7 linked regions of the Danio rerio genome follow. The protein of the gene in region 6 purifies or fractionates together with the protein of the main gene of each other region. This does not show direct contact. Links are inferred from orthologs where the notes say so. Each region holds a gene or a part of one and is shown on either strand. Other genes may lie near its edges. The genes, in order: polr2eb, actb2, ncoa5, nup50, tox4a, ppp1cc and adisspb.

What was found.
Region 1: the proteins of ppp1cc (region 6) and polr2eb purify together in Homo sapiens (affinity purification with mass spectrometry; 4 studies listed by BioGRID and IntAct, with this or other methods). This does not show direct contact. The link is inferred for Danio rerio from reciprocal best matches to the Homo sapiens genes PPP1CC and POLR2E.
Region 2: the proteins of ppp1cc (region 6) and actb2 purify together in Homo sapiens (affinity purification with mass spectrometry; 3 studies listed by BioGRID and IntAct, with this or other methods). This does not show direct contact. The link is inferred for Danio rerio from reciprocal best matches to the Homo sapiens genes PPP1CC and ACTB.
Region 3: the proteins of ppp1cc (region 6) and ncoa5 purify together in Homo sapiens (affinity purification with mass spectrometry; 3 studies listed by BioGRID and IntAct, with this or other methods). This does not show direct contact. The link is inferred for Danio rerio from reciprocal best matches to the Homo sapiens genes PPP1CC and NCOA5.
Region 4: the proteins of ppp1cc (region 6) and nup50 purify together in Homo sapiens (affinity purification with mass spectrometry; 3 studies listed by BioGRID and IntAct, with this or other methods). This does not show direct contact. The link is inferred for Danio rerio from reciprocal best matches to the Homo sapiens genes PPP1CC and NUP50.
Region 5: the proteins of ppp1cc (region 6) and tox4a purify together in Homo sapiens (affinity purification with mass spectrometry; 4 studies listed by BioGRID and IntAct, with this or other methods). This does not show direct contact. The link is inferred for Danio rerio from reciprocal best matches to the Homo sapiens genes PPP1CC and TOX4.
Region 7: the proteins of ppp1cc (region 6) and adisspb purify together in Homo sapiens (affinity purification with mass spectrometry; 5 studies listed by BioGRID and IntAct, counting the BioPlex papers as one, with this or other methods). This does not show direct contact. The link is inferred for Danio rerio from reciprocal best matches to the Homo sapiens genes PPP1CC and ADISSP.

Annotation. Positions count from the first base shown.
Region 1 is NC_133197.1:17,298,979-17,303,404, forward strand, and holds the start of polr2eb (DNA-directed RNA polymerases I, II, and III subunit RPABC1), read left to right. Parts: upstream 1-1,591; 5' UTR 1,592-1,682; coding exon 1,683-1,739; intron 1,740-1,900; coding exon 1,901-2,075; intron 2,076-2,451; coding exon 2,452-2,567; intron 2,568-2,660; coding exon 2,661-2,741; intron 2,742-3,897; coding exon 3,898-3,956; intron 3,957-4,102; coding exon 4,103-4,181; intron 4,182-4,262; coding exon 4,263-4,328; 3' UTR 4,329-4,333; intron 4,334-4,426. UniProt on the Homo sapiens protein: DNA-dependent RNA polymerase catalyzes the transcription of DNA into RNA using the four ribonucleoside triphosphates as substrates.
Region 2 is NC_133178.1:39,482,399-39,486,784, reverse strand, and holds the start of actb2 (actin, cytoplasmic 2), read left to right. Parts: upstream 1-1,496; 5' UTR 1,497-1,509; intron 1,510-2,734; 5' UTR 2,735-2,824; intron 2,825-4,185; 5' UTR 4,186-4,192; coding exon 4,193-4,315; intron 4,316-4,386. UniProt on the Homo sapiens protein: Actin is a highly conserved protein that polymerizes to produce filaments that form cross-linked networks in the cytoplasm of cells.
Region 3 is NC_133181.1:58,120,791-58,125,188, forward strand, and holds the start of ncoa5 (nuclear receptor coactivator 5), read left to right. Parts: upstream 1-1,438; 5' UTR 1,439-1,549; coding exon of another isoform or gene 1,550-1,646; coding exon 1,647-1,762; intron 1,763-2,324; coding exon 2,325-2,437; intron 2,438-4,398. UniProt on the Homo sapiens protein: Nuclear receptor coregulator that can have both coactivator and corepressor functions.
Region 4 is NC_133179.1:71,999,959-72,003,800, forward strand, and holds part of nup50 (nuclear pore complex protein Nup50), read left to right. Parts: intron 1-1,760; coding exon 1,761-2,285; intron 2,286-3,842. UniProt on the Homo sapiens protein: Component of the nuclear pore complex that has a direct role in nuclear protein import. Actively displaces NLSs from importin-alpha, and facilitates disassembly of the importin-alpha:beta-cargo complex and importin recycling.
Region 5 is NC_133177.1:41,101,737-41,106,094, reverse strand, and holds the start of tox4a (TOX high mobility group box family member 4-B), read left to right. Parts: upstream 1-1,457; 5' UTR 1,458-2,038; coding exon 2,039-2,143; intron 2,144-2,422; coding exon 2,423-2,482; intron 2,483-3,759; coding exon 3,760-4,062; intron 4,063-4,358. UniProt on the Homo sapiens protein: Transcription factor that modulates cell fate reprogramming from the somatic state to the pluripotent and neuronal fate. In liver, controls the expression of hormone-regulated gluconeogenic genes such as G6PC1 and PCK1.
Region 6 is NC_133180.1:2,464,059-2,468,607, forward strand, and holds the start of ppp1cc (serine/threonine-protein phosphatase PP1-gamma catalytic subunit A), read left to right. Parts: upstream 1-1,729; 5' UTR 1,730-1,911; coding exon 1,912-1,966; intron 1,967-4,549. UniProt on the Homo sapiens protein: Protein phosphatase that associates with over 200 regulatory proteins to form highly specific holoenzymes which dephosphorylate hundreds of biological targets.
Region 7 is NC_133182.1:8,747,250-8,751,091, reverse strand, and holds part of adisspb (si:ch211-74f19.2), read left to right. Parts: intron 1-3,478; coding exon 3,479-3,579; 3' UTR 3,580-3,842. UniProt on the Homo sapiens protein: Adipocyte-secreted protein (adipokine) that acts as a key regulator for white adipose tissue (WAT) thermogenesis and glucose homeostasis at least in part through activation of protein kinase A (PKA).

The sequences.
Region 1 (4,426 bases), on a different chromosome or scaffold from region 6:
ATTAGGTAAGTTATATACATTCGGATTTCCTGCATATTTATTTTACTTTTCGATTTGTTTAGCTATATTGTATAGATGATGCATACTGTTCATGGATCGCTGTAAATGTACAAGTTTACCGTGTTCAATGTGTTTTACTCTGTTTTATATGTATATATTTTGAACATATTGTGAACTATTTTGTGAAAATGCTCTTAGTTGAAGTTAGCAATGTTATGTGAAGTTGTGAAGTTATATGAAGAGGGTGACTGACGTCACTTGTACGCCAGCTTGTGGTGAAGACAGGAGAGACACGTTTTGGCTGTCTTCTAATTTAATCCATCCTGCCAATTCTGCATAAAATTAATGTCCCAAATTGTTTTGCTGCATTAGCTAACTGACACTGGACTGTTCCATCGCGCCGCGGCCGCATTGGACTCGTGCAGGCAAGGGGAGTGGCTCGTTACATTCACTCCGTGAGGATTTCTCCCAATTTGGATGGACGCATGTCATCACTCAATCGTCAAGGATTTTCGTAGGAAACACATACACTGATTCACAGTCATTGAACTACGTTTTACATTACATTCAGGACTTTGAAGTTTCATATATATAAATATATGTTGAAATTGGGACGTTTAGACAACTGAAACTGTATTTTCCTACTTCTGTATAGTTTTATTTTTTTTTCAAAAAGGGCTGAATTGCTGTCAACATATTGTATTTTATTTATTTAATTTTGTTTGTTTTGAATACATGAGTATGTTTTTATAAGGGCTGAAAAGCAGTTCAGATACAGACCAGAAAATTTGCAATACAGCAAACTCAAAAGTATTTTCTTGTGTTTGGGTTTTTTTATTTTTTTTTATTTGAGCAGTTGGAGATTATAGTATTAATAATATGTAAAATTTGACCACACCATTCAATAATATATTGTGTCGTTAAGTTGAGATATCCCGAACCCGAGATTTCAAGTAAATTGTGTTGAAATTTCATATATACTTTAGAAAGCTCAGACCCAGTAGATAATTTTCCCCTTTTCAGTAAATCAATTTCATAGGTGGGTTACAATAAGACAAAATTAATGATCGTTATCCTTTTGTAAACCCTTTTTCAAAACAATTTATTAATTGTTCTAATCGATTTTGTTAACTTTTGAACACAAGCAGACATAACGTTACAATAAATGTAATTGACGTAAATCTACTCAATCAAAATCCTCTGGAATAATTGCTAATGTATTTTTTTAACCCTGTAACATTTCCTAAAACGCTGGGGACGACGCTCTATGGTCAAAATGAATCACTGAATCGCCTTGACACCGGATATTTGAACTGTTCGATTGAATCTATATTCAAACGATTCAAACCCTACGCACTTCTCAAATGCTATACAACTCTCTTTCCTTCCTTGTTCGTTTACATAAAACAAAATCAGTATTTAAAGAAAGCAATAGCTGTGATATTGCTTAGAAGTTGTGATACTTCTAAGCAACGCGCACTGTTTTTTGTACGAAATAAAGCTGCGCATTGTTTTTTTTTTTTTTTTTTTTTTTAAAGCTGCGCATTGTATCTACGCTGTGGCGTAACGTCTGACGTCATTTACTCGCGCCAGCAACGGGAAACAAACGTGGAGAAGAAGCATCACATTAGCGGATTGTTTTGATCGTCAAAATTTGGTATTAATCATATTTATAGCGCAGTATGGATGACGAGGAAGAGACATACAGACTATGGAAAATTAGAAAAACTATAATGCAGGTAAAGAAAGACATATATGCTTTATTTATAACGTTTCGCACAGTTTAGTGATGCTTGTTCCGGTTTACTATTGAATGGATTTCATGTCTTTTATAAAACCATACACATTTAAATAACAGAAATAACATGATGTAATAACAATGTTGATATTTAACCAACAGCTTTGTCACGATCGCGGATATTTGGTGACGCAGGATGAATTGGACCAGACTCTTGATGAATTCAGGAGTCAGTTTGGAGATAAACCGAGCGAGGGTCGACCACGACGAAATGACCTGACAGTCCTGGTGGCCCACAATGACGACCCGACCGACCAGATGTTTGTGTTCTTCCCGGGTATGTTTTATTCCGCAGCAGCCCTATTTATTTAACTAGTCCGAGATAACAAGGAGTGGTTATTAGGTGAAGTTGGTTTTATATTCGGACAATCTCCTTAATAATATAATTTCAGAAAAGTATTCTATGCTAATTCTAAACAGGGAAATCATATTAGCAGCCAGCTACTATCAAATACATCACTGTTAATTAAATAGTCAAATAGGGCTAATGTTGTTTTAAAGTCATACTTCCATGCGATTGCAGACTGAATATTCAAAGCATCATGGTAAAAATGGACAAACGTGAAACCAGCTTTACCTCAGTGGAGTGGTTGATCAATTTTGTATTTACGTTAAAGAGTTTAAATATATTGAAACTTCAATTTTGCTTTCAGAGGAACCAAAGGTTGGCATCAAAACCATAAAGATGTATTGCCAGCGCATGCAGGAGGAAAACATCACCCGCGCCATCATTGTAGTACAGATGGGCATGACACCCTCCGCCAAACAGGTGCAACTCGCACATTTACTAATGTTTACAGTTCTAATGTCGAGCACTTTACAAGATAAATACGTTTTTTTATCTCTCTCTGTCACATTTCAGTCTCTGGTCGACATGGCACCAAAGTACATACTGGAGCAGTTTCTTCAGCAGGAGCTTCTAATCAACATTACAGAACACGAGGTGAGGAGACTTAAAGTTATAGCTCACCCAAAAAGTGAAAATTCTGTCATCATGTACTCACCCTTGTTCCAAAACTGTTTGAGTTTATTTCTTCTGTTGACAACAATGTTGGAAAGCAGCAGCCATTGACCTGCTGTAGTATTTTTGTTCCCGTTAAGGAAGTCAATGGCTGCACGGTTTTTAATTCACTGGTGGAAAAAAGCACCTTAATGTTGTATCACTTACTGTTAGTCCAAAATCACATTCGGAGAACTATTATATTTTTAGCTGATGAACAATAAAAAAATCCACAGCCAATCAGAATCTCCTAACTTAAAAAGCCAGTTTACACAGAAATAACTCTTCTGACATCATTTAATCTCCGTCCACTAGTTTCTAGCGTTGAAGTTTCTTTCTTCTTTTGAACACAATGGGCTATATGCACACAGACTTTTAATATGGTTTCCGGTGCCTTATATATATATATATATATATATATATATATATATATATATATATATATATATATATATATATATATATATATATATATATATATATATACACACACACACACATACATGATATAAAGTGCTATAAAGCGGTGTGTTAAATTATTTTACCTCAGTATTTTGAATGGAGTTTCTGCGCTAGCCTGCTGCCATTGACAGCGCTAGCAGTTACACAGTCTATTATCTCATTTTATGCTTGAACTACTAAATGAATGCTTAAGTTTATTTAAGGGATTGTATTTCAATTACATTACGATGTTGTAAAAGCAACCTTATAAATAGTCACAAAAACCTTTTACTGTTGGTTTAAAAACACTAGCTGTTCATATTGCCCATTGAAGAATGATCCATTGAATTCCACTGTATAATTTGGTTCTTTGTGAAGAAAATCTTGTTTCTCTTGATCAGAGATGCCCAAACTCAGTCTTAGATGGTTTAGATCCAACTTGCTTCTGCACTCATGCCTGGAAGTTTCTAGTAGAGCTAGTAAGAGCTCGATTAGCTGGTTCAGGGGTTGGAGCCAAACTCTGCAGTGCCGAGTTTGGGCACCTTTTTTTTTCTTGATAATTAATATATTCATCATTTTTGTTTTGAGCACTTTTTTAAGATGCTTAACACTTTTATCTAATTATCCTTTGCAATAACTATGGTTTCATGTATTTCAGCTTGTTCCAGAGCACATAGTTATGACAAAAGAAGAAGTGACTGAGTTGCTGGCGCGGTAGTATCCTTTCATGAAAGATGCTTAAGTTTACAGCAGTGTTATTTTCATATTTCTATGGTTTAGCTCAACTTTGTGTATTATATATGTTTAACTCCAGTTGGATAGTTCACAGTACATGTAGGTCACCTTAACCAGCGCTTCTCCAGTAAGCTAAAGGAAAGCCAACTTCCCAGAATTCAAGCTGGGGATCCCGTTGCACGTTACTTTGGCTTAAAAAGAGGCCAGGTAGGAAATCAGCCCAATTTTTAGCTCATTTTGATTGACCGCAATCAGCTGATAGTTTGTGAATTTGTGTGTGTTTTTCAGGTTGTTAAGATCATCAGACCGAGTGAAACGGCTGGCCGATACATCACATACAGATTGGTCCAGTAATGTTGGTGAGCTCTTGTCTTTTATTAACCTTTAAATAAAGCGCTTCACTTTTTCCACATCTTTCTATGTTACAGCCTTATTCCAAAATGGGTTAAATT
Region 2 (4,386 bases), on a different chromosome or scaffold from region 6:
GGTGCGTGGTTTCAGCATTTCATGTGCAATACGAGTAAGAATATTTTAACCAAGTATCGACCCAAAACCTGATACTGGTATCGGTGCATCCCTTATTATTATTATTATCAAAAACACACTTGTTTTATTTATGTGGGTGCCAAACAACAAACTATGAAATGCAGCATGACACGCCCAAAAAGTGTTCCTTTGAGAACAACTTCATAAATATGTTTCTTATCATTATGCATGAATGGTGTACTGGGAGAGCTTTGGTATCAGAATTGAGATAAGAGACTTTGGCATTCTAAAGGACAATGACATTATCACACTGACAGTCAACAACACTTTATTGCTCTGGAAATCTTATGTCATGGGGCAAAGCTGAGGTTCATTAGGACAGTACCTTATTTAGAGATGAATGGGAAGGCTGTAGTGGGCTGCTATCAGGGAAGGGTGGTGGTCCTCGGGGGAACTATGGACTCACAAAAGCACATCTGCTGTAACAAGATCCCCTGTGCAATCTACAAAAGTTACAAAGAGAAGCATGGTTGGTTAAAAAATAGAATTGACTGGATATGCTGAATGCATTGTTTGTTGTGTGTTACATCACATTAACCACAGATTGGTGCTAAATATTTGCTTATCTTATAAAAACCTGTGTGTTTATAAAGGGGGGTGTGGATGGATGCTTGGCATTCTTTGAAAAGATGTTGGGGGATGGAAGGAGGAGACCTTATTGATGAGTATCCAGTTTGCAGATAACAAGTTTTTAGACATTCATACTATGATGCTGTTTATGTCTGTTTTTTCTCATTTTTTCTATACACAAACAGCTATAAAACATTCACTTTTATATCTGATGCTGTATATTAAATTTCGTTGTATTTATTCTGTTTGCTCTGTTGGGTCATAGCTAGGGCCAGACAGAATCTGCTGACATTTTTTGCTTTTTCTGCAGAGAATTTTGTAAACAATCTGTGATTTATGCGAGATTTTTTCGGGAGTATCGTAACTAAAAACTTACTATATGAAATAAAAAAAAATAATACCTTTTTAACTTTTAATAAATATATACAATGCAAGTCCACCTAGATCCAATTATTTGGTCGACAAAGCAAGTCTCTCACATAATATATCTTCTAAAAGACAGAAAACATTACTTTCAGACCATATTGTAATCAAATGAACACTTTCATATTAGTCAATAATATTACGGAAATGTATTTAAAAACTGAATAAACATATATTTACACCTTTGTCTTTATTTCTAGAGTGCTTTTACAATGTAGATTGTGTCAAAGCAGCTTAACTTAGAGGATTAGTATAGTAAATTGAAACTGTGTCAGTCCATTTTTTAAGAGTTTAAGTTCAGTTCAGTTTAGTTCAGTGTGAGTTAATTTTTACTGCTGAGAGTCCAAACACTAAAGAGCAAATCCAAATACACAAGTCAATAAATAAACTCAATGATGGGCTAAAGATCTGGGGAAATCTGCAGATTTCTGTGCGCACAGATTCTGTGTGGGCCTAGTCATTACCTATACTCAACGTTTACTCTGAGAAACTTCCATATTTTAGAGGTAAAATGCTCAGAATTGTAAAAAGTCTTGTCAAAATACTTGGAATTTGCCAAAAACAAAATAAAAGTCACATCACCTCATTGTCCTTGGTATCAGCAAGCACTTTTAACACAATCAGCTGTTTTTGTTTATAACTCCCACTGAAGGCCATGTGCATTACTCCCAAGTTACACAGTAAAAAGTCACATGTAGTTTATCATGATCACTGCTGCTCAAGCACAGCTTTATCTGTTATTCAGTGTGGCAATATCTGAAATGTGTGCAAAATATTATTTATTGTAGCTGATCACCAACACTTTCAGTGTTTTTTTTTTCTACTTTTAATGAGAATTATGTTCTTAGGATTTATCCTTATAAACCTCTTTAAAAAGAAATGTTATGTCTGCATAGACACGACATGAAATTATGAACAGAAAATTTAACTATTTAAGATCAAGACTTGACATATAACATTTCTAATGAACATTAAACCTGAGGTAGGCCCACTTGCAAAAATGTAACTGCTATCACTCACTTTATACATCATTGTGTAACTTGTACACACAAAAATAGTGAAGCAATGTGGCATGGAATGCAGGTCCCATTCATTCAAAGTTATTAAAGCACTTTCTTAAAGTGCATTACTACTGAGCTAAGACCAGCTAGTTGCTCATACAACATACTACAAGTAGTGTCATCCTAATTTGGATAAAAAAAATGTCCATTTTATACATGGAAAAGTACTCATTAGATCCCCCATTGTTTGTATTACGGTATTTCGTGAACACAAGAGGTAAATGACCTACAGAGCTGCTGTTGTGTTAGATTGAAAACACAACACAGGATCATGGAGGCATCCATCATTATGACGCATTCTGCCACTTGTAACTCTGCACAGACTTTTTGAAAAGTTTAATTGAGTCTTGGCGTTGTCGCAGAAAAATACGAAAAATTCTGTGTTAAAATTTGCAAATAAAAATTCCAGTTTTATAGGAAATCGCCATGGCCTTGTTCTTTAACCAGTTAAGCTTCCCCTTCTTTCACTCTCAAGTTGCAAGAAGCAAGTGTAGCAATGTGCACGCGACAGCCGGGTGTGTGACGCTGGACCAATCAGAGCACAGAGCTCCGAAAGTTTACCTTTTATGGCTAGAGCCGGGTATGTGCCGTCATATAAAAGAGCGCGCCCAGCTTTTCAGCCTCACTTTGAGCTCCTCCACACGCAGCTAGTGCGGAATATCATCTGCTTGTAACCCATTCTCTTAAGTCGACAACCCCCCAAACCCAAGGTGAGTTGGTTTTACAGTTTTTAAGCGTTTAATTATAGTTTCTATCTATTAATGTTAAGTAAAATGTGTAAATGGATAAATATGATTTGATGAAGTCTTTAGACAGTTCATAACGGTCTCTTTGTAGTTATCTACTAGGTTTGATTTATAAGTGGTGGTTCTTTTGATAATCTATGTTACATTTAATAAATATTGGCTGTATCTTAACTTTTTTGTAGCGTTAGTGGATGTGGCAGGTGAGAATGTCGGTAATTTAACGTGACCAGTCGTAGGCACGACATTGAACATTGAATAGGCCGGTGTGAAATGGGTGTTAAGTCTTAATATAAAGTTGTGTTCTGGCTAATCTCTCTTTAACAGCCATAAATGTGATTTTTAACTACAGTTTTGAGGGTGCTGGTGAGCATGTTGCACACTTGATGGATAGCCGGCATGGGAAGTTCTTTGTGCAGGCAGTGCTGCAGCAGGGTGTGACCTACTTTAGCTAGCCGGCTAACCAGCTCTCATCTGATGTAACGTAAACCCCATCAATCTAACATCGGCTCATTCGTGCTTTATAAGATCGAAGATCTTGTTATTAGTAACGGGTATTGGCATTTAGTTTTAACTTGGTTAATTTTCTTTTTGTTATGTGTTCTATTTAAATGTAGCCTGCAGCCCCCTCTGTCTTTAATGAAGCTGAAGATTAACGTTAACGTTAGTGAAGTGTTGTATCCGCTATGAAAGATTTGAATTTTAGAGGTGTGGTCCACTTTAATAACGGCTGCGGAGTTCTCTGGCTGCACTTCAGCCGCTGTGACTGTCGAAGCAGAGCCCATCAGTTTTTCAGGATCTCGGTGATTTTTGAGGCTAGACTATGAACTGAACCGACTGAGAGTGACCGTCCAGAAATGCTTTAGTGTGAAGTCTCCGCTCACGAGGAGTCCGTGGACTGACTGCAGATCTGTGACGCAGTAACACCCGGCGGCAGACACCCGTTGAAATGCGGTTGTGTAATTGATCGCAGGCGAGGGTGGAAGAGGATGTGAAACTTCATTTGTGTAAAATTTAGGGAGTGGTCCTGGTGTGATGAATGTCGAAATCTGTTCCTTTTTACTGAGCCCTACGACTCTGGCTGAGTGCCACACCGCCGGCAGCCGCAAAGCGGCTCAAACCATTGCCTTTTATGGTAATAATGAGAGAATGCAGAGGGACTTCCTTTGTCTGGCATATCTGAGGCGCGCGCTGTCACTAGCGCCCACCAGCGGTCAGACTGTAGAATGCAGAGCAAAACAGGAAGTTGACTCCAGATGGTCACATGCTTGCTGAAACGCCTCTCCCTGGCAGCAGTGCAATTCTAACAGTTTCCCTTTCTTTTACAGTTCAGCCATGGATGATGAAATTGCCGCACTGGTTGTTGACAACGGATCCGGTATGTGCAAAGCCGGATTCGCTGGAGATGATGCTCCCCGTGCTGTCTTCCCATCCATCGTGGGTCGCCCCAGACATCAGGTGAGAAGACCGATTAGTTTGATTCTGACCCAAACTGAGAACTTTCTCAAGTAGTTCACAAAATGTAACGC
Region 3 (4,398 bases), on a different chromosome or scaffold from region 6:
TAATACATAAATGCTTTTCAGTGGCTTCTTATAACTATTTGTGTTAAGTGGCAGTTCTTATTGGTGGTTTAGATTAGTTAGGTATTCAATAAGCGTTTACAGCAGGGAAAATCAACTCCTGATGTACAAATGCAAAAATTAACAAGATCCTGCACTCCTTTCTTACTACATTTTAGAAAGTTATCGGGTACTCGGGTAAAAATCTATTTAGAATATTTTATACATATTAAAGAACCTTAAATAATTTCAATTATTGTAATTTACTGTTTGTTTGTGTTAATGTAATATTTGTGTTTTTGCCATAATGATATGGCAATAAAACAATAAATAAGTACAATGTTTACTTCACAAACTGTAGTATTTACTTTTAAGCTACTGTTGAAATGCTTATAATTTAAACAAACAAATGATGCAGAACAAAGTGTTTCTCTTTTGTTAATCAAACACTCGTTTGGCTCTGAAATATTTCCGTCATCTGTCATGTTGAACGTTTGGATTGGTTTATTTTCAGATGTAAATATGGCAGCTGAGAGACGACAGAATAAATCCAGATCAAGTCCTCCACGCAGGTAATGTATCGCTGGGATCTTTTTGCTACTGAAGACGACATCTATCGAGAATTTTGGTAACCGTTTTCCCCTCCACACCGGAATTCACCAATATCGCAATATCATTGTCGGGTGCGCAAAATTGGTTCAGTTTACATTTCTCGTGGCTTTTCGCTTTTTAGTTTGTTCAGTTTTTTTTTTTTTTTTTTCTTCCAATTTTCCTTTTAGTTGTATCAGAATTAATTGAAATAAAGTTGAAAGGGTAATTTGAGTGCATTTCCCTTGGTGTGTTCTTGTCTAAACGGTGTGTTATTCATTCTGTTCACTTACTATGCACGGTTTTCAAACAGTTACGGGTTCTCGACACTCCAATTATCACTTCCTAAAACATAAAAAAAAAACAATTTCATTTACTTGAATGGGATGTAAAGAACTGAACAGTAATTTAAACAATTTCAGTCGTTCACTTAATGGCTGGATTTCTAAGTAAGATTTTGGAGGTTGTCAGGTTGGTGTGTATCTTCCAGTCACCACCTTTGTCTGTTCATCACCTCTGCTTTAAAACTATTATTTTAGCAAATCATTTTGCTGACGTGGATCGGAGTGGAAGCAACAAAAATGTGCTGTTTGACTTTGTTCAAATGCATTTTATTTAGCAAAAAATGTAAATAAAAACTGTTTATGACTCGTGGAAACTAAATATTAATGATTATCACAAACAGATGAGGTTCGACATGTAGTTTAATTTAGGAAAGGGTTATATTTAGAATGTGCGACGGTTCGTTTTATAAAATAAATGACGTGAATTTTGCGACGGGCATCACTCATGCTTGTACGGTACAACAAAACAAAATGTTCATTGTGTAATTTTACCATTTGATTTTAATCTTGTAATCATTTTGAAGCACTTCAAAGTAAATTTTAGTAGTCTTAATAGAGATTAGTTTTGGGGAAACGTGTTTAGTTGTCATGTGTTGATTGAGTGTATTTATTCTGTTCAGGCCATCCAGCTCTTATGGGGAGAGTCGCGAGCCCCGTCCTCGCTCTCGGTCCCCGGTGCACGCACGAGATTCTCGCTACCACCGTGAAAGTCGAGAGATGAGGGCCAGCAGCCGTGAATCGCGTCCCTCTTCTACACGTGAACATGAGGATAGACCCCCAGCTGAAGAACGATACAGGGGGTCTGAGAGCAGGGAGAAAGAGCCTTCCTTAAGGTGCACAAACAGGACATATAAAGGAGTCATGAACTGAGAAACCAAAATACCCTTGATCTTTTGACATATAAGAGGTTATCATACTATTAAAACATCCAAAAACATTTCAGAACTCAAAACTGAAAACTTGTGGCTTGTTTAAAAGCAGCTTGCATTAAAAGGCAGTCTAAAGAAACCACAGGTTCTGGAATGTTCTCCTTTATGATGTAATAGGGTGGATAAGCTTTGCCTCTGTAGAAGGTTGACTTCTGATTCACTGCCTGTTTAGCCCTGCTAATATTCAAAAATGTTAGCCATCAGAGCAGTGGGCTTTATCCAAAAAGTGTACATCCATTATCAGAAAACAAACAATGCTTTCTGATGAAAGGGTCAAAAACAGGACAGAAAAAAGCCAATCGCTTTTTTAAAAACTAAATAGTGAAGTTTTTATTAAAAGTCATTGAGTGGATCTCAGTAGACAAGAGTGCAAAAAAAGTAGTTCATGACCCCTTTAAGATTGATTTGGTAATTTTGTTCCTAAATTTAAGTAGTTTTCCTGTCTAAATGTACAGTGTTTTTACAGAGAGGAAGGTTATGATCGTTATTATCGTGGAGATTACGATTATTATCGGAAGAAAGACGAGGCATACTCGGATCGATACAGAGACCCCTGGAACGGCAGAAGAGAGCCAGAGGGTGGGTTAATAACACTTTTACTAATATTTTTTATTCTTAAAATAAAATTGGTTTGTTGCATGAAGTAAATTGACATTTTTGTGACAAATGTTTACACCAAGTAGTGATTTTCGTTTGCTGCATAAGTTGTAATGAAAATATGGTGCTGCAAGTGCTACTCTAATTTTTCTGTTCAAATAACTGACAAATGACAAAATGGGTAAGGTTAGATATTAAGATATTCATAGAAATGATTGGTTTTAAACAATTTTTTCTTTTAGAAATTGAGTGTTTGCATGAAGTGAAAATGACTATTAATGGATGACCAATATGATATGACAGCAGGGCTCGAAGTTGCGACCATTTTGGTCGCATACGCGCCCGACATTTAATCTATGCAACCTCATAATATATTTGCGAGCATTTGTGCGACTGCATATAATGGGTGTAGTGCGACCTGTTTAGATTTTTTTTTTCTAAAAACGTGCTGAATCGCTCTTCTCTGCCGCTATATTGGTTCATATTAGCTGTCAATCACTCAAGACTTTCCGCTGTCAGATGACTGGGAGCTTTTGTGACCGCGGGTAATTCAAACGACTGAAGAGTGAAAAGTACACTGAATCTCGATGCGTTGCATTCACTACGTGTTCAGCACAAATGTACGATAAATGTAAAATCTAACACTTTACACACCATCACCAAAGAAGCTCAGCTTTACTAAGTTTAAACTGATGCGGCTTATAACAAAGAGCGGTATTGCACCAGTGGTCATCGGGAAAATCCTGCTCTGCCCCCTCATATATTGCATCGGCTGACTCACCTGCTTTCCACAAACACAGAAAAATGAAAATCAGCTCATAACGAAACTGAACATTAAAATGACACAAACCCAAACTTTTAAAAGAGAGACTTTTCTTACTTTCTTTTGTCTGTTCTTTCGTGAGATGTATATTGTTTTTCTATTTAGTTACTGTTGACTGCTTTGCAGCTTTTAGCATTGAATGGAATGATTTATTATAATCTTTCGTTTGTTTTGTAGCAGAAATAGTATTTATTAAATTGACACGCATATGAAAACAATAGTGCAAAATAAATATTTCTTACTCAAATGCTTCTTTTGTGTTTGATGCAAACCATACATGTGTTTTTCATAAATTAACAGTGGGACTTTTATAGCAAATAACTCGCACTCAAGCACATTCAAGGCTGCATCATAATGAGAAATGTAAAGCATTGTTAGCATCATTGACATCATCGTTATCATTAATATTTTATAATTATTAGACATTCATTTTGGAATTATTGCACAAATATTAAGTCATCACAGCATTAGTTAGATAGTTGTTTCTGCTTTTTGTTAGTCCTAATTGATGTTGTTTTCAAATACAATAAATCCCTTAATATACAATTTGCAATGGTGCTCATTCATTTTTGGTGGGTGCTCCTACATTTTTTCTGAGGCTTTTAAATATTTAAAGATGGGAGCACCAGTGCTACCAAGTAAAAAGGTTAATTTAGAGCCCTGGACAGGGCTTCTCAAACTTGGTCCTGGATGGCTGGTGTCCTGCAGATGTTAGCTCCAATTTGCCTCAACACACCTGCACAGATGTTTCTTGAAAGCCAAGTAAATCCGCGGTCACATTAGAGTTTGAGCTTGCGAAATTCTGTCGTACAGAGCAGCGATAAGGGGTGGGATTAAACAAGATGATTAGACAGTTATAAAAGCAAGCGATTGGTCCATATTTTACGTTTCTGTGCAGAGAGGTCATGTTTGAATTTTCGATTCGTCTCGCACAGTCACGTGATGCAATTTCGCATGTCTGACGCATTCGCGTGCATACGAATGGATGTCTATGGGGGAGAAAAGTCCAGTGTGACCGCAGCTTCAGAGCTTAATTAGCTAGCCCAGGTGTGTCTGATTGGGGTGGAACTAAACTTTGCAGGACAGGACCGAGTTTGAAAACCCCTGTGATACGATATAA
Region 4 (3,842 bases), on a different chromosome or scaffold from region 6:
ATTTTTTCAGTCTGATTCCCACTGGGTTTTATTTTGCACCCAATCGCCCCCACTATTTAATCACTCTTTCTTTATTTAAAACAAAATCTTTCTGACTGTTAATTCCCTGTTAAGACAGTGGTGAAGCCGAATGGTCTCCCTTTGCTGAACCTTTTATGTTCTGTGCTGATCTGGGTCAGTTGGCATGAGTATGGTTTCATTTTCCACACTGGGGCTGATAACAGTTCTCTGTTATTTGATGTTTAATGTTAATAAAAATGCATTTTTGCCTTGGTAATGCAAGCGTATTTTAAACAAGAAATGTGAAAAAGTGGCATTAGAATAATGTCAATCGTGTGAGTCTTGTAAAATAATAAAAATTCGACATATATCCTCCTATTTTTATTTTAATTTGAAGCAAGCTAACAAAAAATACAAGTCATTTTGTAAAAATGTACAAAAAGTTTAAATTCTTCATTTAACAGTTTAATTGTTAATAGAAAAATATATTTGATTTATTATTATTGTTATTTTACATACGTGGTACCATGGCTCAATGCTTAGCACTGTTGCCGCACAGGGACTGGAGTCAGGAGTGTTTCTGTGTGGAGTTTGCATGTTCTCCGTGTGTTGGTGTGGGTTTCCTCCGGGTGCTTCGGTTTCCCTCACAGTCCAAACACATGCGCTATAGGGGAATTTAATTTACTAAAATGGCCGGGGTGTGTGAGTGTGAATGAGAGTGAATGGGTGAATGGTGGAAGGGCATCCACTGCGTAAAACATATGCTGGACTAGTTGGCAGTTCGTTCCGCTGTGGCAACCCCTGATAAATAAGGGACTAAGCCAAAAGAAAAAATAATAAATGAGTTTTAAGACTGTCTGGACTCGGCCGGACTCGGATGTTAAGGACTCGGACTTAAGTCCGACTCGACCCCTTTTGGACTCAGACTCGGACTTGTACTCGACTGGTTAAGGACTTGGTCTCGACTTGGACTCGACAAAGGTGGACTCGACCCCAACTCTAATATTTAGGAAGCAGCCCTTCTCATCACAGTAATTTGTTGTGTATTAGTACAGAAAACTACACTTAATTATCCATGAAGTAAGGGGTAAAGTACATTCAGGCGGTTGTTGACCGTTAACGAACACCTGACAATGCAACAGCTTCACACAAATGTATCGCATGTTCTTGCATTAATTAAAAGTTGAGCGTTTTAAAAATCGTATGTTGTATGCGTGACTGCAGTGCGCTGTGATTTGGCCTCATCTGCGCATTTGCGCTGTATCTCCTTCACTCGCCATGCTGAAACCCACAGAAACTCCCCACACACACACAGACACATGAGGAAATGTGATGTCAGCAACTGATTTACATACTTGGAGGTGATTGGAGAGGTCTTCGCATGTGCAATGCATGAGAAAGTGTACATGCATTCTAGCAGCACACTCCATTTCCGCATTACTGGATCTGTAGCGACAACAGACCGCAAGGGATGATGGTCAAGCATGGGCTGATGGGAATTGTAGTTTTCGCTACCTCCCGTTCGCTTCATTCGCCTGAGCAAATTTTCTCAGAAGACCTATAGTTTTACCGAGTCATGCGACTTCGGTAATATCGAAAAAATTAATATTGCGGTATGACGGTATTTACAATACCGTTACATCCCTATGAACTATAGATCACAGGACGCACCGAATTGTGAGAGGACGACGAGACAATACGTTTTTTTTACCAAGAGCCATTGCATCCCTAATTATGTATCTCCCTCTCTTCATGCACAGGTCCTTTAACATTCAGCAGCTCCACCCCCTCCAAGCCCACAGACGGTGAGGTCACCTCCAACGGCTCCGCCCCCAGCAGTAAAGAGTACAACCGGCAGCTCACAGCGCTGAACTGCTCGGTGCGCGACTGGATCACCAAACACGTCAACGACAACCCGCTGTGCGACCTCAACCCCATCTTCCGGGACTACGAGCGTCACCTGGCCAGCATCGAGAGGAAATACGGCAGCGGGGCGGCAGACGAAACACCAGGGAAGCCGCTGGCATCCTGTGCTGCGGCTCCGCAGACCGTCTCCCTCAAAAACAAGGACGACAAGCCTCCAGCAGAAAAGCCAGCAGCTCCTCCGGGAGTCTCCTTTAATTTCGGAAAGAAGGTGGACAGCTCGGTGCTCGGGGCGCTGTCGTCAGGTGGAGCGCCGTCGTTTTCCTTCTCCTCTTCGTCTTCTTCTTCTGCTGTGTTTGGCTCAGCCGTCAGTAGCGTCAGTAGTCCTGTGGTCAACTCGGACAGCAACAGCCAGACTGCAGGTACACGCTTGCTTTGCTTTGATGGCTAGAGCTGCGCAGTATGACTAGTTGAAGTCAGTATTGTTAAGCCGCCTGTCTAATTCAGTTCTTTAATTATTTCCCAGCGCACTTGTAAATGTATTGTTTTTTATAACTCATTTTGTTGTCATAATCACGACAGCACTTAATATTACAAGATACTAGTATTCAGCTTCGTGCAATTTAAAGGCTTCACTGGGGTAATTAGCCAAGTCGTTGGTTTACAGTGGTTTGTTCTGAAGACAATTCAGAAAATCTGTTATTTAAGGGATGATTAAACCTTGATTAATTAATCACTTTAGCTCGATTAGTTATTGAAGGATTTTAGCTGCGTCCCAAATCGCATACTTGCGCACTGTTCTACGCCATTTTGTAGTATAAATAGTGTAAGTAGTGCGTTCACATTGAAAACCCGGATGATGCTCTCATTCAGCCGCTAAAATAAAGTGTGTATAGCCCTTTTTCTTGGAACGCAAAATTACCCATTATGCTTTGCGTGTATGCTGCGCAAGGAGAATGCGAAGAACTTCCGGTCGGCAGCTGATGCGTGTAAACAGTCACATTTGCACAGCTTTGAAACGAGTTTTAATCTATGTTACCTGCTTTTATCCTCTTTGAACTAATACTGTTGTCCATCAGCAGCATCTCCGGGACTGATCATTTAAAGAAATGCGATCTAATAGGATGGAAAACAGCTGCTGTGAGGCGTTTTCCCCTGGTTGTCAGACGGCATCTTCTGCAGTTTAAATGAAGCCTCGTCATCGCTAAAGTCAACGTTTTCTCTTTATTTTAAATATATAACCAGCCCAAACTAATGTAATTCACCAAAATGTTTGACACACACACGTAGCCTGTACTGTGCCACTGACACACTGATTTAATAACTGTGACAAAGTGAAAATATAGGCTAGTGTCATTTCGAAATGAAAGAAAAACACAAACCGTGGTGAAAACAACACACAAAATAAAACACAAACGGCTCGCGATTAGAATGAACAGCAAATCAGCAGCAGAGGATCAATAACAGACTTTTATTGCTCATTTTTGTAAATTGCTCGACTTTCATACCTGTTAGGTTTCATGCCAGTACTCTGGTTTGCTCTCTCTCTCTCTCTCTCTCTCTGTGTGTGTGTATTGAAGAGCCGCTGAGCTAACAGCTGACAGGCCGGGAACGCACACACACACTATATTTCTGACGGCAGACACGTGAACTAGGAGAATGTTTTTCTCGTATTTCTGACGCGCTTGAACCACGTGACAGATTATAACGGCTTTAACAGACACATTTCTAAGTTGTGCGTCACAAAAACACTCTGCTATCTATAAAAACGTCATTAGCCGCGTTTCCACTATCGCGCCTAAAGCGAGCGAGCCAAGGCAAGTGGGGTTTCCACTGTCACTTCCAGGGCCTAATCGGGCCAAAGCGGGGCTTTCTTGGGGCCAGCGGCCGGCCTTTTTCGGCCCTCCGAATACCTTGGGCCAAGGAGGGCCAGCTGGGGCTTCGGGGCGGAGTGAAAGGAGAGGCGGGCAGTTTTCTGA
Region 5 (4,358 bases), on a different chromosome or scaffold from region 6:
ATCTACCTTCCTGCAGGTTTTAGTTGCAACCCATATCTTACAGACCTGCCTGTAATTATCCAGTGCTGTTAAGGTCCTAATTAATTGGTTCAGGTGTGTTTGATCAGGATTGGAGCTGAATGATTTTTAAAAGTAGTCCACTAGGAATTAGGATAACGGATTGGATCAAATCTTTAACATGGGTTTTTCAAAAGAAAAAATGGATTACATAATTGGATAAGATCACTTTGATCCAAAAAATCTGGATTAAACTGATCCCATCAGAAAGGTGGATTTCATGCCCAAAATGTAATGTAAAATGTATCAAATAATACTATATTTGGATTATGCAGTATGTAACAAGGTATCCTATTTATTCATAAGGTTTTAATTGTATTTGTTCATCCGTCATGCTACAGTCATTAGGTAGGCTTTAACGTATTCAGTCTTACAGTATAGGCCTACAGCAAAGTAGAAAGAGTTTGGCCTCATAAAAAAATCCCCCAAACAGCTGTCAAAACTGACCAAAAACAATACATTTTATTCTGTCAATATGATCATATTGTATATTCATCACAATGGAAAATATTTTTGTTTTAGAATATTTATTAGTGATGCATGCAATGATTACAGAATAATAAAAAAAATGCAAAGAATGACAATCACTGATATTTAAATCACTTTCAACAATAGCAAAAAGAGACTGAAAGGGCAGAAGCACAGCTTCATCTGGCAGACTAACAACTGACTCTGACCAAACTGCAGCAAACCAAGACTAGACCTGAGATCCGCCCATAAAAGAAATGACAATGCCTGTACTTTGTGTGTATAGTATGCTGCTAAGTCTTACTTTTTGTATGTTTAATAATAGAAAAATTACGATGCCTGTTTTTTATTTATATTGTTTGCAAATATAGACATCAGTTAACATCTTAATGAAATTAAAAATATCCAGATAACACAAACAAAAATGTAAATTTATGAAATAGACAAAATTAAATAGACATAATTAAAACAAAACAAGATATTATGTTGTAATGGCTTGGGGAGATTGAGAAACTACATGAATTTATTCGTTTCAAATTCAACAACGCATAAGGCCATAATTGCTGTTGTTTAAAACGTTTTTTTTTACAATTAAATAACTAACCAACCTCTTAAAGATGGTTGACAACACTGACTGTGACTGGTCCTGCTTGAAGTTCGCTGAGAAAAGTAACGCCAGCCTTGTGAGTTGTGATGATCACAGTAGTAAAGTAAAAAAGTGATGGTGGCCGTGACCATTGAATGAATTACATAAAGTGTGGGGAGTTAAAAGAGAAAAAAATGCTCCACATTACAGGAACCGCGCGGGTCGTGTTAAATACTGCCAGGAGAAGGTTTTCAGGATTTGGACACAAATGAACTTATGACCGGAATGCGATTAATAAGACTTGCAAGTTGCAAACAGACAAACATAGCAGAGTACCGATCGAATCGGTCCATTTTAGCACTGGCAGAAGCTATCCATGCTAGTGAGACTCTCTAGGCAAACTTTGTTTGTTCAATCTGAATATATATTAAAAGTGTACAGTTTATAGTGTTATTTAATGGAATGTTGGATTTTACATTCAGCGAACAGGCGAATTCTCTGCCCTCGAGGCCTGTGTTATGAATGAAACCTCATGTTGGGGTTTAACAGCAGCGCTTCTGCGAACTAGCACGAATTAGCCAGTTAACGTTAGCTCAATTTGTTAGTGGCTAAATTGGTAAGCCTTCACCTACCACTCATCATAAACGCTTTTAACGGCTCTGGTTGTATTAACGCTGCTCTGTGGATCGTCTAATGAAGTTTATTGACGTTATTCAGTCGAGCAGCACAAACCTTATGCCGAACAATACAAGATGCTGTGTTGCTTGGCTCTTTTCTTTTGCTGACTAGCATTATTTCCCATTCATTATTTGTATTTTTGGTTGCTTTAGTCTGTTGCTTTTGGAATATTAGCAGCCCACTCGTTCCTCATATCAAGAAACCCAACAGACATTATTTATATATTTATCTAGTATTTATAGTATCCTCATGGATCTGAATTTTTACACGGAACTCTCTGACGGGACCGGTCAACATGTTGATTCCGAGTTTATGGACAACTCGTCCTACAATGGATATGATTCAGTAAACAAGGTAAGTCTGGCTGCTTTGTGTGTATATATATATATATATATATATATATATATATATATATATATATATATATATATATACATACATATATATATATATATATATATATATATATATATATATATATATATATATATATATATACATATACATATATATATATATATATATATATATATATATATATATATATATATATATATATATTCAGTTCAACGTAACTATATAATAAAACGCGTTTGCATGTGGTTATTGCACCTTTTAACATCCGTTTATTAGTTTGCAGGTGGCAGTGATTCATACCTGACCACCAGTGGACCTGGTCATCATTTTCTTGAGGTAGTGCTTCTTTTTGGACTGTTTTCTGAGCTAGCTTAAATTGACTAAATGTATTATTTTAAGCTTTACAGCGTCAAAGCATGCAATATAATGTTATATATCTTAATTTGTTTCCATTAGTGACTAAAGTGTCTCTGGATTTATTTAAATTTTGTGATCAAAAGATGACTATAAATCTTTTTACCTTGTTTTATAAAATACACCATATAAAACGTTAGCACATCAATAGTTTGTGTTAAAATAAATGCTTGTCAGGAATATTTATAACAAGACTTATATTTATAACTTGGTAAAATATTAAAAGTCTAATAATGATCACACAGCAGCCCCAACATGCATTTATAATTACTGTCTCTCCTTTAAACTTTTTAGTTTTTTACCCAAAATAAAAAAAAGTTTGCAATGTTAAAAAATGATTATCTCTCATCATTTTATATATATTTTTAATTGGCACAAATTTGAAAAAGTATGTTGTTTAATTTTTATGAAATCAATGTGATGATTTTGAGACATTATTTCACTCATATTCTCAGATTTAATTTTCAGAAAGATCTTCCTAATATTAAAGTAGACATTTAAGTGTAATATGTTTTGATATCTTTAATAAATTAAGTTTGATGCAGGCACTAGAATGGGACATCTTGTGTATTTTTTTATATACATGTTTTTATATTTTATTTCTGAAAATTTTTATGCAACTTTCTACCTTGCCATAAAAAAATTAGGTTTTCACCAACATAGCGAAACTCTTTCTAGGTTTTGTTTGTCTAGGCTTGTATTCAACAGGACTGCAAAAATACTCAAAGATGTCTCTGTCAATATTTTCAAACAATTATATTTGATTTACCAAAGTCACACAAGTGGCAAGAGATGTCACATCCATAACAAAGATTTTTCCTTATAAATGTGAAAATATAAAATAAAATCAGTCATTTTTGTTCTATAGAGAGCAAACATGTATTCTTTTGATCATCATTATTTCTTTTAGATTGTCCAATTTAATTCACAGAACTTGTACAAAGTACGTTGCATACTGTAAACTTTTTTGGTCACATCCATCACGTATGTTTATTTTCCTCATATAAAATAAACAAATGTTTACAGATTGATATTTTTCTGATCCCATAACTCTGTGGTGAGTTGTTTTGGAAAATATAAACAGATGTTTTAACAAAGTTAATATATAATTTCTCTGTGAATTTATGTTCTGAGATTTTACTGCAAATGTCGCATCCATAGCGCTGGAATTGCTCTTATGTCTTTATTTTTCATTTCAGAAAACATTCTATACACCCTGTCTGGGTGATGAAGAGTTCGAAATCCCAATCTCCTTGGATCCAGACTCTGCTCTCACCATAGAGGATGTGGAGGCACATTTTGGAGAGCTGGCCGAACAGGCTGAGAGCTCAAGGGGTGCTGGAGTTGGAAGTGTTCTTGCCAGTAATACTGTAGTTGGGGGAAATGATCCATCTTTTGCCTCCACCTTCATGAATCCCTCATCTCAGGGTATGGAGCACCTGACTTTGGGTGTGATGAACCAGCAGGGCGGAAGTGCACTGCTGAGCTCAACTCTGGGTGTGGTAAGCTTTTCTCTTTCTAGCAGTGGCAGCAGTGTCTGCATCGTGTTTGCTAAAGGAAATCCAGCACTTGTTTCTAATGGATTATAAAATGCTAGATAGGGCTGCATGATATTGAAAAGATCTGACATTGTGATATTTTTTTCCTGCGATATTTATTGCGATTTGAATACATTTTAACCAGATGGCTTGAATAGCTCTATTTGGAAAGAAATCCATTTATTAGATTGATAAGGGTTGTTGTCAGATAAATAAATACAAATACAATTAAAGTATTTTTTTTCTTTCTATTTTTAAAT
Region 6 (4,549 bases):
ATCTCACTAAAACTCCAAGTGTTTTACAAGAGAGAAGTTAAAGACATACAAATCTTTGGATGCCAACAGTTTTGCTCTGAGCAAGAAATAATACTCCATGATAACCAGATTCAACACTGTAGAGCTGAAAACTGAGGTTCTGCCCAGCCAAAGACAAGGAAAGAAGACGGAGCTGTACAAGGCCTGGATAATCATCAACAAGCAGAACTACTGCATTCTCACAGCAAACTACACCTGTACAGCAGGTTATGTGAACACACATTTCATTCTAGGCATTCAGTGTCCGCAGTTTAATTAACCATATTGAACTGTTTTTGCTGCAATCAAAAACCAGTAACGTGTCTGATTCAGCATAGCGTGAACTCACCTGATATAACATGAGAACTGCAGAGTCCAGCATTTCTAATTAGGTCCTCACTCCATTCAGCTCCCTTATAGCTAAATATGTCTGCAGTTGGCATTAAAGCAGTGTGGTGTACGGTAAATGTTAAGCTGCATTTGAAAAGTTGGATTTGGCACCCTACCGCACAACTATTACTATTGACACCAGGAACCCCTGTGACGTAGGTTGATAATTTCTCTAAATATAGGCTTAAGTTTTTTAATTTAAAACAACTTTGAACAGATTCCTTATTTTATGATGGATAATAATAAATTAGCATTTGAAAAAATAAGTATTTTTTCGAATTTCTTAGTTCAAAATGTTTAATTTAAATTCTAATCTCATTACATTATTTGTAAAAAGTAATAGTGTAAATTTTAAATGCACAGTTGTAAATAAACACAATTTTTTGTTAATAGTATGGTAAGCACTTTGACAAAAATATAGGAAAATATTTGTTGCGTCAAAAAGTATTGTAATGATAACCATCCGACAAGCTAATCCAAAAATTTGTGCTTAAAATGTCAATGTATTTGATAAAAATGAGCCGAATAGCTGCAAAAAGTTCCACTTTTTGAGAACCCTTTTAATAGGCTGGCTACGGGCCTGCATTGCAATGCTGTAGTATTTTTAATACCTAAATTAGCATGAATTAAATGCATACTGAGTAAATACCTTACCACAAATGACAAAATATGTAATGGTATTGACAGTTGACAAAGGATGAGGTTAGTTAACATGAAAAGTAATGTCAAATACTATAAAACTAGTTTTTTTTTAATGCCAAAATCAGCATTAATTAATTTCTAATGCAAAAATACTACAAATTAAATAATATTTTTTTTACTATAATGAATGACAATTGACAAAAAAATGTGGTTAGTTAATATAAAAGGTCATGTCAAATACTGTAAAACTAGATTTTATGCCAAAATTAATAATTTTTTATTAGGTTATTATAATAAATAACAGTTGACAAGGCATCTGGTTAATTAACATAAACAGAACTGTCAAATAATGTAATACTAGTACATGTGTATACCCGAATCAGCATAAATTAAATGCATAATGCAATTTTTTCAAATGAAATAATATTTGTATTAGGTCTACTGTAATAACAGCATGCCAAAAGACGTTGTTGGTTAAAATAAATAATTATGTTAATGTGTAGGATATGTTTTAAACATGTGTTTTTAAAAGTTTTTCATTGCAATTAACATTCAACGTCACACGTTATTGTGAAAGTCAGCGGCACGCCCTCCTCTTTCCTCCGCACTACTTTTCTTCCTTTCCTTTGTGTTCATCCGCCCTCCCGTTTCCATCAGCGGTGAAACCGAGCCGAATTGCGTGTCCTTCCGCAGAGCCGGTGCGCCACCGCCGCAGCACGCGCGTCTAACGGGCCCGCTCGAGCATTTTAATCTTTTCTTTTAGAGTTTTGTGATTAACCAGTTTGTTTTTAATCGAAGTCGTTTTATCTGTCGTGTCTGGTGTGTTTTAAGCGGTGGTGTTTGTGTTTTTATCGGCTAGTCATGGCTGACATCGACAAACTCAACATAGACAGCATCATTCAGCGCCTGCTCGAGGGTGAGTTTCAAGCCAAGTGACAGCTAAAATGTACTTTTAATAACATAAGTAACTATATAATTGCCATAAGGGTTGTGTGTGTATATGTATATGCTTGATCTATCAACTCTGTCGTTTTTATGGATGTTACGTTAGCTGAGCTAGCGAGAGTTAGCTGCGCATTAGCTCTGCTCACTGACACAAACGGCTGTGTGTCAAATACAGAGTTTTCTACATAGACACTATACTGATATATTTGAAGATTATATATTATTGGTTGGTTTCGAATGGACAGTACTTTTGACTATAAAATACACTCTGTGTGGGCAGTTCACTGGTGTTTGTGACACTGCCAAGCTGTACGCGCGGTTTCGGTGCTTCAGTAAACACATTACGTTAGTACACTGACTAATGCTGATATTATGATATTGAATACATATTTGAGCATCAAAACAGCTGTTTATTAGTGTACCACAGTCATTAAAATTAACAACAGGGCTTGAAATGTCAAAAGTGTGATTTCTAGCGCTAGGAAAAACAATATTTTTGAGTTCAACCCAAATTTATACAATTTGAGGGTGTCATCTCTATAAAATGTTTATTAAAAATCCTTGCTTTAATTAGACATCTTAAAACCTTATTTAATGACTAACAATATGAAACTGTTGAAAATGAGAACTTTAAAACATGATAAACTCTTAATTCTGATTGAATATGAACACTGTATTTGCTTATATTATGACTTTAAACATGTATTATTATTACATGTAAATATATTTTTTAGGGGGGGAAGGACATCACATCCTGTACAACTGCAGGTTATACAGTGTTCATACAGTCATGGAAAACCTGGAAAAGTCATGGAATTTTTACATGGCATTTTCCAGGCCTGGAAAAGTTTTGGAAAAACAGAAAAACCTACACAGTTTTAGAAAAGTCATGACAAATACTTGAATATAGGCTTTTCTCTTATTTTCTGTCCTTGGCCAATCACATACTCTCATATTATTAGTGCGGTGTAAGCATTATCTAAATTAATTTTGCATGGATATAAATTGAAAGTAAATGGATTGTTGCATGTTTTATGCTATGCTCTAATAAATTTGAACATGCATTGCTTTTCTTTTACCACGCATATGTAGACATTGCATGAAACATTAGGTCATGAACATTTACATGAAAGTCTTGGCAAAATCATGAAATTTTAGTAGTAAAAATGTGTATGAGCCCAACTATGTTTACAACATTTTAGCTTTTTTTTGAATTGACTGTAATGAAATGTGCACCTTTTGTAAAGCTGCTTTGAAATGAATTATTGTGAAAAGCACTATACAAATAGATTTATATTTTATTATACAATGAATTGTATCTTTGCAAAATATAATTGCTTTCTGGAATGCATTATAAAAGCAGCAGGTGCAATAAAGGCAGAATGATTATGCAAGATTTTATAGTTTTATTGTATACAGTGAAGAAATGCATTTACATAACATTTCTCGCTTGTTTAATTTTTATATGCAACACAGTTCATATTGGCAGATATTATTATTTAGACTAACATTAAATGTATTATTAAGGTATGTATCCTTCATAAGCGGGTCTGACTTCAGATTTAGCACTGCAGCAGCTTTGACCCATTTTTACTTGTACTTTCTGCAGTAGTGATTTCAGCATCATACACATACTGATATGCATGTGCTTTTACTTTGTCCTCTTACACTGTAAAAAATATATTAGTGAACAGTTTCTCTATTTTGTGTGTTTTGGGTTTATTTGCGGTGGCAAATTGCATTATGCTATGTTGATCTCTCCTCTGTTGTATTTTTAACATCAAAAGTGCACAAAGTGACTTATTCACATTTTAGTCATTTGAAATAATAATATCATGTATAAAAATAATATCTAAAGAAATAAGTCTGTTAAAGAATAGAAAATGTTTGTTACAATGTTTTTGTAGCGTAATATACAACACCAACCAGACAGTATATCACTTTAAGCTATTAAAAAAGTAAATAAGTCACTTTTTTTAACTTTACAAGGTTAAAAGTTGTTGGAGGAAAGTAATAATCCAATTCAAAAGCGTAAATAAATGGGGGAAAGTAAAAACATGAATCACAAAATACATAAAACTGCTTATTTAAAGATTTTTTATTGCTTAGGTTTATTTTTATGCAGTGTGAAATAATGGCTGCGCTAAAATTTTGACATTGTCATGGAGAGATGCTATAAATTATATTTGGGTAATAATAATGCATAATGTTTAATTATGATGCACCTTTCTAAGCTCAAAGCGCCACAACATTTACAAACATAAGGTTGCAACCAAAGCCTAAATTACAAACTTTCATAATCAAATCTCTGTATTAATTCACATCGCAATAATGAATAAAAAACAATTAAGCAAATTTATTTTTTAAAATGTCAGTGATATCACAAATGGGCAAATATGGCTCTAAATTTAAAATTATTTATTTTAAAATAAATATATTACCAGTATATTAGGAACACCCTACTCCTTGCATATTTTCTAAGATTCCTCTGTTAAATATTTTATTAGACTGTCCTGCTTTTAATGTTTGTAGAAGACTTTTAATGAAGTTTTAA
Region 7 (3,842 bases), on a different chromosome or scaffold from region 6:
CAGAGAAATATTAAAGGTACAGTACATGTGCATTTGTTCAATCTACAATATATGTGGCATAGTGTTGATTTCTCTGATTGGTACTGTCAGGAGGGTGGGGCCAACCTGTCAATCATGAGATCCACCAATCGCAAAACTCATCCACCAAACTTTGAGACCCGCACTGGATTGTTTACTAAGCTGTTTCTCATAGGCTGCGTTCCAGTGCAATTGTTTATGCACTTTGCTCGCTAATATCCCTCTGTCTTGGCGGATGTACATCATTGATTACTTCACACAAGTGTCCACTACTGGCGGAGCATCTGAATGGGTTTAAATGAAAAGCGCAAGACTGCGTTCCTGTTCACATTTAGACACACACTCGTGAACTTCCCTTCCCTTGTTCCCTCGGGGAACCCCCAATGACATTTAAAAGTGCGTTCCCCTTCATCAAGGGAAGCTTAAATGGGCACACCCTCGATTTTGAGAGTGGGAGCGAGTGGGTTTCATATGTCCACTCCAGCACCTACAGAGGTTGGACAATGAAACTGAAAGCCTGGTTTTAGACTACACTAATCCGTTAGTATGTTGTTGGGCCTGCTTTTGCAGCCAATTCAGAATCAGTTCATCTTGAGAATGACAGATACAAGTCCTGCACGGAGGCCAGAGGGATTTTGAGCCATTTTTATGGCAGAATAGTGTTCAGGATGAAAAGTTTCCAGACTTGCTCCTCCAAAACACCGCAAAGTGGCTCAATGATACTTGGGTCAGGCCATGGGAGATGTTCAAGTTTATTAAAAGACTATCACCAGTCCTGCTGTCTGTATTTGTACATTATCCTGATACATGGCACCACCTTCAGGATACAATGTTTGAACCACTGGATCCACGTGGTCCTCCAGAATGGTTTGATAGTCTTTGGCAGTGCCCATCTAGCACAAGTATTGGGTCTAGGGACGGCCATATTGCAGCCCAAACCATCACCAGCCGCGTTTTCACTATCGCGCCTAAAGCAAGCGAGCCAAGGCCAGTCACGTTTCCACTGTCACTTCCGGGGCCTGATCGGGCCAAAGTGGAGGCTTCCTCTGGGCCAGCGGCCGGCCTTTTTCGGCCCACCCAATACCTTGGGCTAAAGAGGGCCAGCTGGGGCTTCGGGGTGGAGTGAAAGGAGTGGCGGACTTTGCCCAAGTCTGTTAAAGATGGCATGCCGTCATTACACTAGTTTTGCGATCGCACCCAAGTACATGCGGCAAACAAATAAATAAATAAGTTGAAGAAAACATATAGCTGGTCAGTATAAGATGAGCTATTCCATAAAACACCTTATAGGCTACGTTTTTATTTTGCTTATGATCGCCCTTATGTTTCCCTCTTAAATTTAAGGCTTCATAAAATAATAAAGCTTTTTTTTTGTTGCTGCGTCCTCCTTGATGTTTCAATAAGGCTTAATAACCTTTACACCATATTAAAGACACAGCAGACAGTAAAGGTTGTCAAGAGTTTTTGTCAAGTTTAAAAGGTGTGTTTGTGCGCGTTTAGATGACTGTATGTGTTTGAGAGACCGGCTGGGTTTCTTTTTTTTTTTATTTAATTTGGAGATAATACACAATCTGAATACCACAGAAAAACATAAAACTTTACAAATTACATGCCCATTTTTTTTAAGCTCAAAACAATAGTGTCATATCTTAATAAATAGCCTAAGCTATATTGAAATAATTTAAAGAATTACAAATATCGGATATATTAAAATCACATTAAATGAATAAACCAATATAAAACAAGCAACAGCTAGCTATAACAATGTAGGTATATACAATACATAAACCAAACTGTTTTAAGCCATATATAAGTTTCACTTTACAAAGGCAAATCTGAAAAAAAAGATTTGAGATATTTTCTAAAAACAATAAACACCAGAGAAGGTTTAAAATATATTTATTAAGTATTTGGATACGCCTATATTTATCAAATCGTGCAAACAGCATTTTTTTGGGTGCGTGATAGAAGAAACGACCTTCTTTTCTGTCCTGCGCAGCGCCGCTTTACAAACGCATCGGGGAAAACTGCAAATACAAAATCCTCAATCAAGTGTTTATGTTTTTATATGACAAGGTGAAATTTAAAAATTGGATTTTAAATGAAGAGCTTTATTAGTGAAAAGCTGCTGAGCGCAACAAAATATCGGCTATACTTGCTCTTATGTGCTGAAACCACACTTAACTTAAGATCACAGAATAATATGCAACATCCTTAAATCACTGGCTCCCAGTTACATTCAGAATAGAGTTTAAAGTATTATCACTGCTCTATAAATCACTAAATGGCCTAGGAGCTCAATACATCACAGATATGCTCACTGAATACAAACCTAACAGATCACTCAGATCTTTAGGATCATAAAAACTAGAAGTTCACTCAGTTCACTAAGAGTTCAGTCAAAGCAGGGTGAATCGGCTTTCAGCCACTATGCTCCTCGCTGCTGGAATCAGCTTCCAGAAATGATCAGATGTGCTCCAACATTAGGCACATTCACTTCAAGACTGAAAACACATCTGTTTAGCTGTGCCTTTACTGAATGAGCACTTTGCTGCGTCCGACAGATCGCACTATTATGTCTTTCTTTTCTTTTTCATTATCTTATAACATATTTTAACACATTTGTATCTGTTTTATCTATTTATTTTATTTTATTTTTATTTTATTTTTATTTCATTTTTATTATTATTAGTTGAAAATTAATGTTTTCATTTTCTTACACTTGTCTCTTTTATTCTTGTTTATGTAAACCACTTTGAATTGCCACTGTGTATGAAATGTGCTATATAAATAAACTTGCCTTGCCTAAATGAAGGGGAATCACCTATTAAGTGTCAAATAGCCTATAGGGAAAAATGAATGTTTCAGGTGTCTCCAGAGCATTTGGGCTAAATGTTTGACGGCGTCTATCAAAACGAGGATGTTATAAAATACACTTCATACCGAGTTATTAACGGAGAATTTCTGTGGTTTTTAATTATGGTTGGGTGCGCTCATTTCGCTGGGTCCCTCCGTTAGTGGCGAGACCACTCTATTTCGATGCCAACAGTCGGTCGGTGAGTGTACAAATATAATAAATAAGAACACACAGGCCCGTTCATATAGACATATAATGTAATGCTGTACAGTAACGTTTGCGTGACACACTGCAAGCTACAAGCCAGACAGTGGAAGCGCGACATGATTTCCGCCTCACTACTCAACCTCCCGGGCGATTGGCTCGGCCCGGTAAAATCCCTGGCTCGCACTGGCCCGACAGTGGAAATGCGGCAGTCTGGGTGGTATTCTTTTTTGGGGCTTCTCCACACGTAACTCTCCCGCACTTTGAAATGCTGCTGGGGATTCCACCAGGAGAACAAGGAAGTTTGCGAGTGCATTATTAAAAGTGGATTGGAGCGCAGCAGAAAAGACTATTTCATAATAACATGTCTACAAACACCTCCCCCCCTCTCTTTATCAGACCGTCATCACGGGACTCCGATGCTGCTGGAAGGTGTGCGGTGCATTGGAGCAGAGCTGGAGTACGACTCGGAGCAAAGCGACTGGCAAGGCTTCGACTGATCGCCCGAAACTCACTTCAAACTTCTCAATCCGTGCCACATATCCGGTTTTGGCAGTGACGGAATATTCTAGATTCTGGAAGTCTGTCGCCGGCTGCTCAGCAATGTCTCTGCTTTCTGCTCAGTGTTTGGAAAGGGCACTGTGCTTTCTTGGTTTTACTTACTGTTACAATAGAATGCAGGAATGATCTGTTTACTGTAGCTCTCTGTGATTTCTTTTTTTTTTTGTATTTCAGGTTTGGAAACAAAACAATCAAATAGCCT